Linked DNA regions of Canis lupus familiaris. The protein of the gene in region 3 binds, or shares a complex with, the protein of the main gene of each other region. Links are inferred from orthologs where the notes say so. Each region holds a gene or a part of one and is shown on either strand. Other genes may lie near its edges. The genes, in order: MED31, MED13L and MED20.

Region 1 (3,748 bases), on a different chromosome or scaffold from region 3:
ATAAAGGAGCAGTCAGGGTGTACAGGGTCCTGCAGGGAGAAGGATGTGGGTTTTGTGAATCAGTTGACACAAATCAAAAAAGTGACTTGGAAAAAAAATAAAAATACAAAAAATAAAAAGTGACTTGGATAAAGTACAAGTCTGAATCATTTTCCTATCAAACGTGTTTGTTTAAAAGAAAGACAAGAAAAAAAAAAAAAAAAAAAAAAAGAAAGACAAGAAGTTCAACTATTGCTTTCTGACTACCTAGTGAAGACAAAGAAGAGGGATGGGTTCAAGGTTGAAACAAGTGTGATGCTTGGCACAGAGGAGGCACAGCAGCTATAGACACACTGGTTTGGGTTTGTTTTTTGGACTTTTTGTTTAAAAATTAAAGGCGTGTGGCAACCCATCAGCAAGCAAGTCTATGGGTACCATTTTTCCAACTACATTTGCTCACTTTATGTCTGTCATTATTTGATAATTCTCACATTTCAAACTTTTCTTTATCATTGTATTTGTTAGGGTGATCTGTGATCAGACTCCATAAAACCTCAGATGACAGTGTTTTTTAACAATATTTTTAAATTAAGGTATGTACCTCTTTCTTGACTTAATGCTATAGTGTTAACAACCCTTATACGCACTAGAGAACCCAAAAACTTGGGTCACTTTATTGCAATATTCACCACATTGCAGTGGCCTGGAACCACATCAACAGTATCCAAGGAATGCCTATATTAAGAGTCAGGTAAGGTCACCTCCTCCAGAAAACCTTCCAAGTACCTGATGTTCTTTAATCTTCAGCCTCAGGTAATACCACTGCATCTACAGACTGTGGGTTCATTAGGGTCAGAAATTCAGTGAGATGGGGTGAGTGGTAGATAGATAAAGAGAGACCTGAGAAAAGAGAGAGGATTTTGTTTCACATGCAATGGGAAACCACTGGGAGGTTTTAAGCAAGAAAATACCACGTCATAATTTACATTTTTGAAAGATCAAGTTGGCTTCCCTGTGGAAAACTGTTTTGCTTGGTTTGGCTTGCGGGAGGGAGGACACAGAAGGAAGGTAAGAGCACAAGCAGGGAGAAGCAGGGGGGTGGACACCGCAATAATCCAAGCTGGAGAGGGGGTGGCTCTGTATTAAGGTGGAGGCAACTGAAAGAAGTGGAGAGATTCAAAATATACTTTTTTCCAATGGGAAATGAGAAAATCTGTCAAATATCAGTATTTTTAATGTAATAACTATACACATATTTAGGACTATAAAAATTAAACTTACTTTAGATACTTGGCATATTCTGGTTCTTTCCAGTAAAGCAAGTACTTAAGATAATTAACAAAAGCTTTGTCTTTGAAGTAACCTCTTTGGGCAAGAACTGAAAGGCATAAACAAACAAACAAAAAAATCTGTAGAGCAAACCAATCCTCGGACTACTGATTTGTGACCCCTCACATAAAGCATCTACTTATATAACTTCCCCACCACCAACACACACTAAATGCTGAACATAAGTCCCAATTTGTTCTCACACACACCAGTATAAGCGTAGCAGTTAATTCCACTGGATTGAGAACATATAAAAATAGGTATCATTAGGAACTGCAGTTCTTCTGCCAGAGATCACTAACAGCTACTCAAGTCAGTAAGAGCTCAAGGACTTACAGTTAAGATAATTGGGGTTGGCTAGGCACTGCACAAATTCCAGCTCCAACTGAAACCGAAGTCGATTCCCGGCATCATCTAGGAGGGAAGTGAGCAAAAATCATCCAAAGTAAAGGTGACTAAAAAATAAATAAAATAAATAAAAAACAAAATAAAGGTGACTATCTAAAGTGCTGGTTTGTAGAAAGAAAACAGCAGTGGAGTGTTCTGAGTATTGCTGAGAGTATCTCTGAAGGCATAAGGCAGGGATGACTGTCCTAAGCTGGATGTGGGAAGAGAGGGCCGTTTCCTCCCAAGTCTAGAGAGCAGGGCCCTGATTAATGAGACCAGTAACTCCTTAAGGAGAAGTCCGAGGAAGCGGGCGCCCCCTGGGCAGGATGTTCACCCTCTGGCAGCCACTCCCCAGGACCTCCAGGGTGACCAGTGGCGGAGGGCTGCAAGCTAAGCAAGAGGAGGGGGCGAGTGTGCTCCCGCTAGGGCCTGGCGGGGAGGGGGGACTGGTTCGGGGCGGCAGGATTTGGGAGGCCCGGGGGAGGGGGGTGTCAGAGCCCGGAGGCTGGGAGGGCCAGGACCTGGGATGGGTCGGGAGGCCGCGGGGTCGGGGCCCGGGAGGGGTTGAGGCTGAGGGGTGGTCGGCGTCTGCGCGGCAAGCGAGGAGGAGGTAGCCGCGGACAGGAGCCCCGCCGAAGTCACGCCACACAGGAGTCCCGGGGGAAGCTGGAGGAGGAGGCCAGCCGGCTGTAGCTGTGTTTGCCAGGGCTCCGGCCGCTACCTACCTGTCTCCATAGCGACGGCCGCGGCCATCGCCAGCAAAAGCGCCGAGACGTCACCAGCACGACGAGCAGCTTCCCGGAGGTCCCGGAAGCTGCGGCCCCACTTCCTGTCGCGGGGCAGTGTGGGATGCGGGGCGGGGCGGTCCTCTCGGGCCCCGCCCACCGGCCTCGCGCAGACTCGCAAGGGGCGAGGGGCGGAGCTGGGGCGCTCCGAGCGCGGGAGGGGTCCTGTCCCCGCCTCTCTGCTCGCCCAGTGACGTAGCCGCGGGGGTCCCGAGCGCCTCCGGGAGCGCCTACATCCCCTCGGTGGGGTCTCCCGCGGGGGCAGTCCTCAGCCGGGAGAACGCCCAGCGGCCGTTCCAACCCACAGGGACCCCCCCCTTGACCCGAGCGCAGGTGCGGCAGGTGCGGCAGGTGCGGCAGGTGCGGCAGGTGCGGCAGGTGCGGCAGGTGCGGCAGGTGCGGGGTCGGCACTGGGCCAGCCCCCTCCGCCGCGCGTCGGCCGGGTGGCCGCACCGTTGACCCCGGGAGCCCCCTTGCAGCAAGCCAGCACTGGAGGTCCGCAGGCCCGCGACGCTCCGCCAGCCTGATGGGCTGATGGATAGGGAGGCTGTTGTTCCAACCACCCTCACGATCCAGACTTCGGGGACAGGGAGCAAACCCAAACCGTGACCACTGGGAGGATCACACCGCGGCCGGAAACCGAGGGGCAAGAAACAGACCTCCATTAATTAACCAGTTGGCCTTTGTGTTTCAAACCAAGCAGGTATTTTGTTTATGCTAAGCCCTGTGCCCTGTACGGGCACCCCCAGTCACACACATTTCCATACAGGTCAGACTAGATAAAAGTCAACATCTACCATGAGGCGTGATCTCGGAAGGGAACCCGGCCCGGGTCTCGCAGAGGGCGGGGAGGGCAGTACTATTTATGGAGCCTCTCCTCTGTGGGCACTTGGACAAGGTAGGCAGGACCCAGGCTCTCAGGAGCTCACACTGGTGAAGGGGCACACGGCAAATGATGAAAAGACCATTTTCTATCGCAATGAGTAACTGAAGGAAACAGGTAATGGGAGGGGTTCCTCACTCAGAAGTGTCAGGGAAGGCCTTGGTTAGGGGACTTGGATCTGAGGCTTGTGTGGGTGGACAGTGAGCCGTGCAGGGGTCTGGGACAGCAACGCAAGGGCTGGACGGGAGCAATCTTGGAATGTTCTGGAACAGAAAGAAGACCAGCGTTGTTGGAGCTATGCGAGGGACAAGCGTGGTACAGGAGAGAGGACGTTAGCGAAAGAAGCAGCAGCAAGTTCACAAAGGGTCTTGGAAGCCATAGAAAG
Region 2 (3,648 bases), on a different chromosome or scaffold from region 3:
AGATGGTGAGGAAGTCCTTGTCATAGCCTACCAGCAGAGTAGGAATGGGCAATGGCTCAGGAGATTCTTCTGAACCTGTAACAAGAAGGCCATTAGGAAGGGCTCGTGAGTCTGTTTTGTACAAGCTGGAGACCTTGAAGTTCTTGCTGCATTAGTTTTAATTCTGGCATCAGAAATTTCCTTGTAGGTTAACAGAATCACTCTCAAAAGTATTCTTCAAACCCTCTAATTACGTGGCCCATGATGAAGAACTTTATTTCAATGAGTCAGAATGCTCTAATAAAGGTCCAATAAGATCAGAAGGCAGACGAGAACAAGTTAAAGTTAGTTTTCCAGGCAGTACTACACCATTTCCTTTAAAATAAGCACTATAATCCTGACTATGAAGACGCTGACAGAACTAGTTCAGATGTTCATCCAGATGAAAATGCAATGAGGATCGGGAAAATGAGGAAAATCTAACAAATAATCTCTTTAAGGATTATTTTCCTCATTGACCTTGATTCTGCCAAGGATGCTTAGAAAACTTAATTCCAAACTGACTTTAGGAAAGAAAAGAGATTATAAACCTTAATAGCCATGAAGAAAAAGATTCTATTTTATCAGTGAAGCAAGGACTTGACAGTAACTAAAGCTGGGTTTTATGGAACAAAAAAAATCACGAAGAAATTTAAAACAGGGAAGAGATTCTACCATAGGTGCCCCGTCCCGCCATTTTGTGGAACTGCTGCCATGTTAGCGGCCCCTGCACATGCTGGATATTCTCCCAGGTCCTGCCCGTGCGCTTCTTTTGGATGGCGTCTTGGAGAAAGGGCTGCAGGGACAGCAGCATGCGGACCACATCTTGGGAGGAGAGCATGCTGATGTCTAGCACTGGAAAAGAAAGAAAATGAAAGGAATGGAGATCATAAAGGGGGACCGGCATGCTCTTCTTCTCTCTGCCATCATTCTGGACCTCAGTTATAGTCCGTGACAAAGACATTACTGGTGGTAGATTTTATTTTTAGTAGATTCTAAAATGCTTGATCTAGCAGGGGAGAGAAAAGATATTTTCTTATCTTATTATTATAAAGTAATTTATAATTTATTAGTGGAAATAATAAAAGGAGAAATGGGTTCCTCTATATATAAAAGGTTAACTATAGGAGATTAGAAGTAAAAAGATAGATGAGCCTGACTCTTTAAAATCATACAAACCTGTTTCCAAGGTTGTTCATAGGAAAAGAGAGCTGTAAAAGTTTCTTATTTATTATTTTATTTACAAATATCACTGTTTTGAATGAATAATGAGTAGGAGGAAAAACTTAAATAGAAGCTCTTCACAACTGTTAAAAAAAGCTCGTAATATAAAATATCTTCACAAAATACAAAGTGCACAGAGAGAAATATAACCTTCCAGGCAGACAGAGGCACAAGAAAACATGGCAAAAGCAACAGCAGTACTGAAAGCCAGCTGTCCACACAGGAAGGTGGGATTCAAGGTTTCAGAAGAAACATCCTTCCTATTAAGAGGAGGGGCTCTTAACATAGAACCTTTGAAAAAAACCTCTCAAACTGCAAAATTGTGCACACACGAACATGTGCATATTCTTTCCCAGGGAGACAGGTCTGTAATGCTCACTGAATTCTCAAAGAGATCTGAAGAAAGAGCTAATTAAGTTTGAGGTGATCAGCTGTGAACTTGCACAGCTGCGTACCTAAAGACCTTTCCTTCTCTAGCTGATTAGGAAAGGGGCATGGATGGAAATCTAAGATTTATCTACCAACTAAAGAAACACAGGGTGCTTAAGACACCTCTAGGTGATCCCTAAATCAAACACCAGTAGCTAATGTAAATTTCCAGCATCTCTTGACAAACTGGGAGACCTGGCAAGCAGCAGGCCCCATTCTTGCATAAGCAGCAGCGCTGAAGCCAAGGAGCAACTGCCCCCTTCAGAGGCCCTCCTCACTCAGCTCTGCTGCCTACCTGAGAAGGAAGCAGGGATGATCACCTGTACCTTCAAACCTGGGCTTCTTTTTTTCCTATAGTAAAGAAAAAAGTACTTCTTGTAACCATGGCTCTATCAACAGTTGGAAAATGACAGACAAAGAGAATCACAGGTTAGAGAAAAATAAAAGCAGACATCATCCCTTGTGGCTATTCCTGTGCACACAGAATGGAACGTGTGCACGGAAAGATGTAGTGAGGGCACTGCTGTTTGCAAATCTGCTCCAGCATCATTCACTCATTTACATTATCTGTCTGATACTGTTAAGCTTCTGACTTTGGAACCCACACCTCCCCTGCGATAAAATCTGCTATTTTTCATATCCAAAGATGACAGTACTGATCCACCCACTCACTGCTTTTCTGTCTGAAGGCCACTATCTAGTAAAAGGAACCGCCCAAGATAATCACCCACATTTCTTTAGAGGGGAAGACTGTACTTTCTGTAATTCATAAATGCATCCAGCAGACATTAATTAGAGGCCTGCTAAGTACAAGGCACAGTGCTCAAAACTCAGCAGTTACAGAAATGAGTGTAATCCTTGAATACTTTCTTACAAGTCTCCACCTCTGAGAAGTCTCTGGGCCTGGCTACTCAAAAAAGTGCCTATCATCCCTCACTCCAATGATCTCTGTCCTCTAAGCATACTTTCTCATTCTAGATTTCCAACTGTTATTTAAGAAGCTTATATAGCCTTCTCCCCTACAAGGCTGAGAGCTGTTCAGAGCAAGCTCCATGTTTCATTCATGTAACCAACCATTCCAGCCCAACCTATTCCCATCCCTCTAGTGAAGTAGTCTACAGAAGTAGCTCCTCACTGTGGTCAAAAGACATACTTAATCCTCTTCTTAAAAGCTCAGCTGCGCTTTAATGCTTCCTGACCACTCTTTTTCTTAAAACTTGGTTACACAGCAGAATTCAGCAAAGTTCTGTCCCAAGCCATCTTGTCATCCTAGCTTTCCTCCTCCTCTGTGCCTGACTTTACTATCTACAAGCCAACTACTCCCTTTCCCCTGAGCTGCAGGCCCATAAACTCCCAAGTGTTTACTTGACATCTCTACCTGGATATCTCAAGAAGAGATCTTTAAAATTTCCAAAACTCAACTTAGGAGAGTTTCTCCCCAGACCTAGCCTTCCTCCAGTACACCTATCTTCGAATGATCAGTACCTCTCCAGGTATACACATCACAAACCTGGGTGTCTTCCTTAACATCTCGCTCTGACCCCTGAAATCCAACCCACTACTAAGCCCTGCAGTCCTACCACTTCCTCAACATACCTTATGTTTCTACTTCTTTTCCATCCCCTTTGCTAAGATAAGAAACCAGCTATTATTTCTCATTTGAGCAGTTGCACTAACCTTGTCTTTCCACCATTCTGCTATTCCCAAATCCACAGTCCGCACTGCACTCAGAGCTGGTTTCTTTACACAAATCAGATGTCAATGCCTCTTCATAAACCCACCAATGACTTATTAGGGTTCTTGGGATAAAGACCCCAGCCCCAGCAGGTCTCAAATTGCTCTTGGGGATCTAGCCAGCTCCAAGTTTCCTTCAGTTCTTTGAAGATGTATGTATTTATTGGGGGGGGGGGGGGAACAGAGAAGGGGAAAGACAAAGAATCTGGAGCAAATTCCAAACCAAGCACAGAGCCTGACTTG
Region 3 (3,648 bases):
AGTTCCATGTATTGGACCATGGTATCTGCTGGGCCGTAGACAGCATCATGTCTGTTCCCAAACACTGCTGGGGCTCCTGGCGTGTGGCTGCCTAAAAAACTCTGCAAGAACTCGAGCAGTAGGCTCCAGCAGTCGCTAGCTACCACACAGGGGCCATACTCCACCTAGGGCCAAAAGAACATAGAACAAGGGTGAGTGAGGCAAGGACAAGGTCTTCTGCTTCTCTTATACCTCTTACCCCCTGCTCCTAAATTCTCCAGCCCCAAACCAAAGACAAACACCTTTTAACACAGTGTTGCTCCACAGGAAATACTCAACCCAAACACCTGGGATTCCATATACCCAGCATTATTCCCTTTAGGCATCTCTGGCATTCTCATCTCATCTTAGGAGTTATCAACCTACAGCCCAACCCACAAGACCAAAAGTCCCCTTTTGATACAGGCCCCTTTTGATGATCTCAGAACTGTATAGTCCCTACTATGCTGCATTAAGATCGAAGGAGAGCTAGAAAAAGTCTGAGAGAGAAAATGAAGAATGAGAGAAAAGTAAGGATGTGTGTTTGTGTGTGTGTGTGACCAGAGAGAAAAGTAGACACTAAGTCTCTTTAAGACCAAACATTACCCCCAAGATAGACCCCACCTAACTCTAAGAAGTAATTTCCCAACCCATGTGGCAGGGGCCAAAGGAGATACACCTTAGACTTTCTCATTCCTTTTTCCTAGTTTTTCACTGGAGGGATGGCAAGAAAAATAACTAGTAACCATAAGGAGAAACAAGTAAAAAAGAGCTGGGATGTATCTGTACTAAAAAAGCTAGAAATGTGAAGGATAAGCAGACAGTGGGTTCCCAGTGGGACTCAGCTAATGCAAGGTATATCACAAGCCAAAAGAAGTCAGGAAACTTTGGTCCCAGAGGTCACTGGAGTTTCAGAGCAGTAATCACTACTAAGGCCCTTTTCTCCACCTGGAATGCTTTGTGGGCCTCATCTATTCCCACATCTCTACATTATAAATCCCTCTTTACATGCTACTCCTGCAGAAAGCATCCCAATCCCCAAAGTCAGCAGTGCTCTCATTGGCCCAAATTCCCAAAGCAATTTGTGCCTGGGAATGCCTTAAAAATTAACTTAAAAAACAGTCGGTGTGTTTCAGATTCACTCATTTTCTCAATCACACATTTTCAAAAAGCAGGCCCTATAGCTTACTAATTTTTTTTCTCCTCACACAGAGCTGGGCACATAGCAGACTGAGGAATTTCACTGGTTCCAAAGCCAGCTACTGCCACACTCCCTCTTTGCGGTCTCCAACATATACCTCAGAGATGGAATCACCACACAAACTTCTTTCCACCATGAAAGAAAGTTGACAGCATATCAAAAGGAAAGGCTCATCTCTGCTACAGAACCTTTGAGACCTATCTTAAAGTATACCATGGAGAGGGGTGTAGTTACATGATTTAGGGCCCACCACCCAAAAGTTACCTGTACACTGTCTCCCCCTGGTTTGCTCCAGTCCTTGTGACAGGTGACCAGTTCCTCCACATCACAATCAACCTGTCTCCCTTGGCTATCCCTTCCCTCCTCCAGCAAGCCAGCCTTCCTAAGCTTTCTGCCACTGCAACCCCAGCTTCCCACTCTCACCCTGGGCCAGAGCCCGAAGGACTAAAGAAAGGATAAAAGATGCAGAGACAGAGAAGCACAGATGCTCTGGGGACAGGATCAGGAAGGCATCAACAGCGGTTTGCACTCAGAGGGACGTGGAAATCCACCAATCCCTCTGCTGAGCAGCCCTTCAGCATATACTGCTCCTTTTCCCCCAAGGTCTTACCTCTACAGAGATGCCTCGGGCACTGGGCCCCATGGTGACTGTGCCCACCTTCACTAGGAAATCACAGTACTGGTAACGGGTACCCCGGGTCTCAATCTTGCTGGCCTTGGCACTCTGGAAAAAGCCCTTGAGCTTCACCATGAGCACATCGAAGTTGGTGTCGGCAATAAGGCAAGGGCCATTCTCAAAAAGGGCGAAGCAGCTCAAAGGGTACTCTGAGTTGTGCATCACGTACATCAGTTTCCCGGCCTGACCTACAGGGACAGAGAGCCTATCAGCATCAGGATCTTTGTTGGCAAGCCTCGGAATAGTCAAATGCATGGAACAGGGCCAGATGGCAATCTGCCACTACCTCAGCCATCTTGGAGGGCAATGGAGGGTAATCCCCTCACCAACAGTCTGTTCCACAAAGAGGAAGGAAGAAGAGCAGTGGGCAAGGCAGTATGTGGTAAAAGCTCATTCCCCAGGAAATATGAGGAGCATAAGGGAACTTCCATAGCACTGGTAAGTTTAGTTCTTGAATGATGGGCTCCACAGATGGGTGCTTAATGATGACAATCAATCACCCACAGAGACTTCCCATAGTCTTCTGTATAATCCTATGTTATGTAATAAGGAAAATAAGAAGTAATATTAAAAGCATTTGAGTATACAAAAATGAAGCAAATGCTCTCTTCTCTGTCCTTCCCTTTCTCCTTTGGCCTCCTTCCTGATATAAAAGAAGAGGCCCCACAGAAGCAGCAAAGGGGAGTATCTGAGCTTGAGGCTGGAAAGGAAGGCCAGAGTGAAGCTATGGTAAGACTTATTTTCCATGCCTCAAGAAGTCTGGACTTTACCCTGAAGGTAATGATGAACCCCTGGAGTGCTATAAGGCATCAGCTGACTTGGGAAGCAATCAGCACTTTCACAGAAAGAACTCAGGATCTGGAATCAGAAGGTCTCATTTCAAGCCCCATCCAATCTTTCCAGTCTCTGAGAAATGAGTTTTCTCATTGATTACTACTAGAGATTTACTGCAAGAAGGAAAGCTACATATATTTGGTTAACTGAGAAATAGAAAGCAAGATCCCCTGTTTATACACTGTAAGAATTAATGGATACACTACCACAATCCCAAGTATTCATGAAGACTTAGCTATAAAGTATTTACTAAGTACTTAATCATCCCAAACATCGTGCTAGGGTTTAAGAGGCATGCAAGTAGAAGACTTAGTACCTGACCTCAGGAAACTGACACTCTCATTAGAGACAATAAGACAATAAAAAACTATTAAGGAGATAGTAAGACCAAAACGCTTATGTGGGATAGACCAGAAATCTTTTTGGAAGGAAGAAAAGACCAGAGCAGGAAAGGATCAAAGTGTGCAAGAGTCAATAGGAAAAACTTTCGTGGAGAAAATAGCACCTGAACTATGATACAAAGAGAAGGTAGGGTTTGGCCACATAGAAAAGGAAAGATATTCTAGGCAAGAATGAGAGCTTAACAGTGGAAACGAGATGGGGCAGAGAGACCTTTACATAGGCCTCCACTCTGCTGCTACTTCCAGAACTCAACAGGCTCTGCACCAACCTTTCTCCACATCCCTCCTGACCACTTGTGCCAATGGGTACCTTTTACCTCCTGCTAAACCCAGAGCAAAACATTTCAACCCTGAAAAACAAACAACCCAAAGCTGATCTATCATTCATTCTGTTCTTGTGCAAACTCACTGTAATTACCGAATTCATACTACAGGAGTCTGCAGGTGCTCTTACTGTCTTGAAAACATTTTGAAAGTCAACTAAGGTTTTTTTAATGAAGAAGGCACTGTCAACTGTT

The links.
Region 1: MED20 (region 3) and MED31 share a complex: the UniProt entries of both Homo sapiens proteins name them as parts of the mediator complex. The link is inferred for Canis lupus familiaris from reciprocal best matches to the Homo sapiens genes MED20 and MED31.
Region 2: MED20 (region 3) and MED13L share a complex: the UniProt entries of both Homo sapiens proteins name them as parts of the mediator complex. The link is inferred for Canis lupus familiaris from reciprocal best matches to the Homo sapiens genes MED20 and MED13L.

The regions. Positions count from the first base shown.
Region 1 is NC_049226.1:30,892,186-30,895,933, reverse strand, and holds the start of MED31 (mediator of RNA polymerase II transcription subunit 31), read right to left. Parts: upstream 2,577-3,748; 5' UTR 2,449-2,576; coding exon 2,421-2,448; intron 1,723-2,420; coding exon 1,645-1,722; intron 1,358-1,644; coding exon 1,261-1,357; intron 1-1,260. UniProt on the Homo sapiens protein: Component of the Mediator complex, a coactivator involved in the regulated transcription of nearly all RNA polymerase II-dependent genes.
Region 2 is NC_049247.1:13,128,803-13,132,450, forward strand, and holds part of MED13L (mediator of RNA polymerase II transcription subunit 13-like), read right to left. Parts: intron 874-3,648; coding exon 694-873; intron 76-693; coding exon 1-75. UniProt on the Homo sapiens protein: Component of the Mediator complex, a coactivator involved in the regulated transcription of nearly all RNA polymerase II-dependent genes.
Region 3 is NC_049233.1:10,759,403-10,763,050, forward strand, and holds part of MED20 (mediator of RNA polymerase II transcription subunit 20), read right to left. Parts: intron 2,625-3,648; exon of another isoform or gene 2,551-2,624; intron 2,334-2,550; exon of another isoform or gene 2,084-2,333; coding exon 1,830-2,083; exon of another isoform or gene 1,231-1,829; intron 165-1,230; coding exon 1-164. UniProt on the Homo sapiens protein: Component of the Mediator complex, a coactivator involved in the regulated transcription of nearly all RNA polymerase II-dependent genes.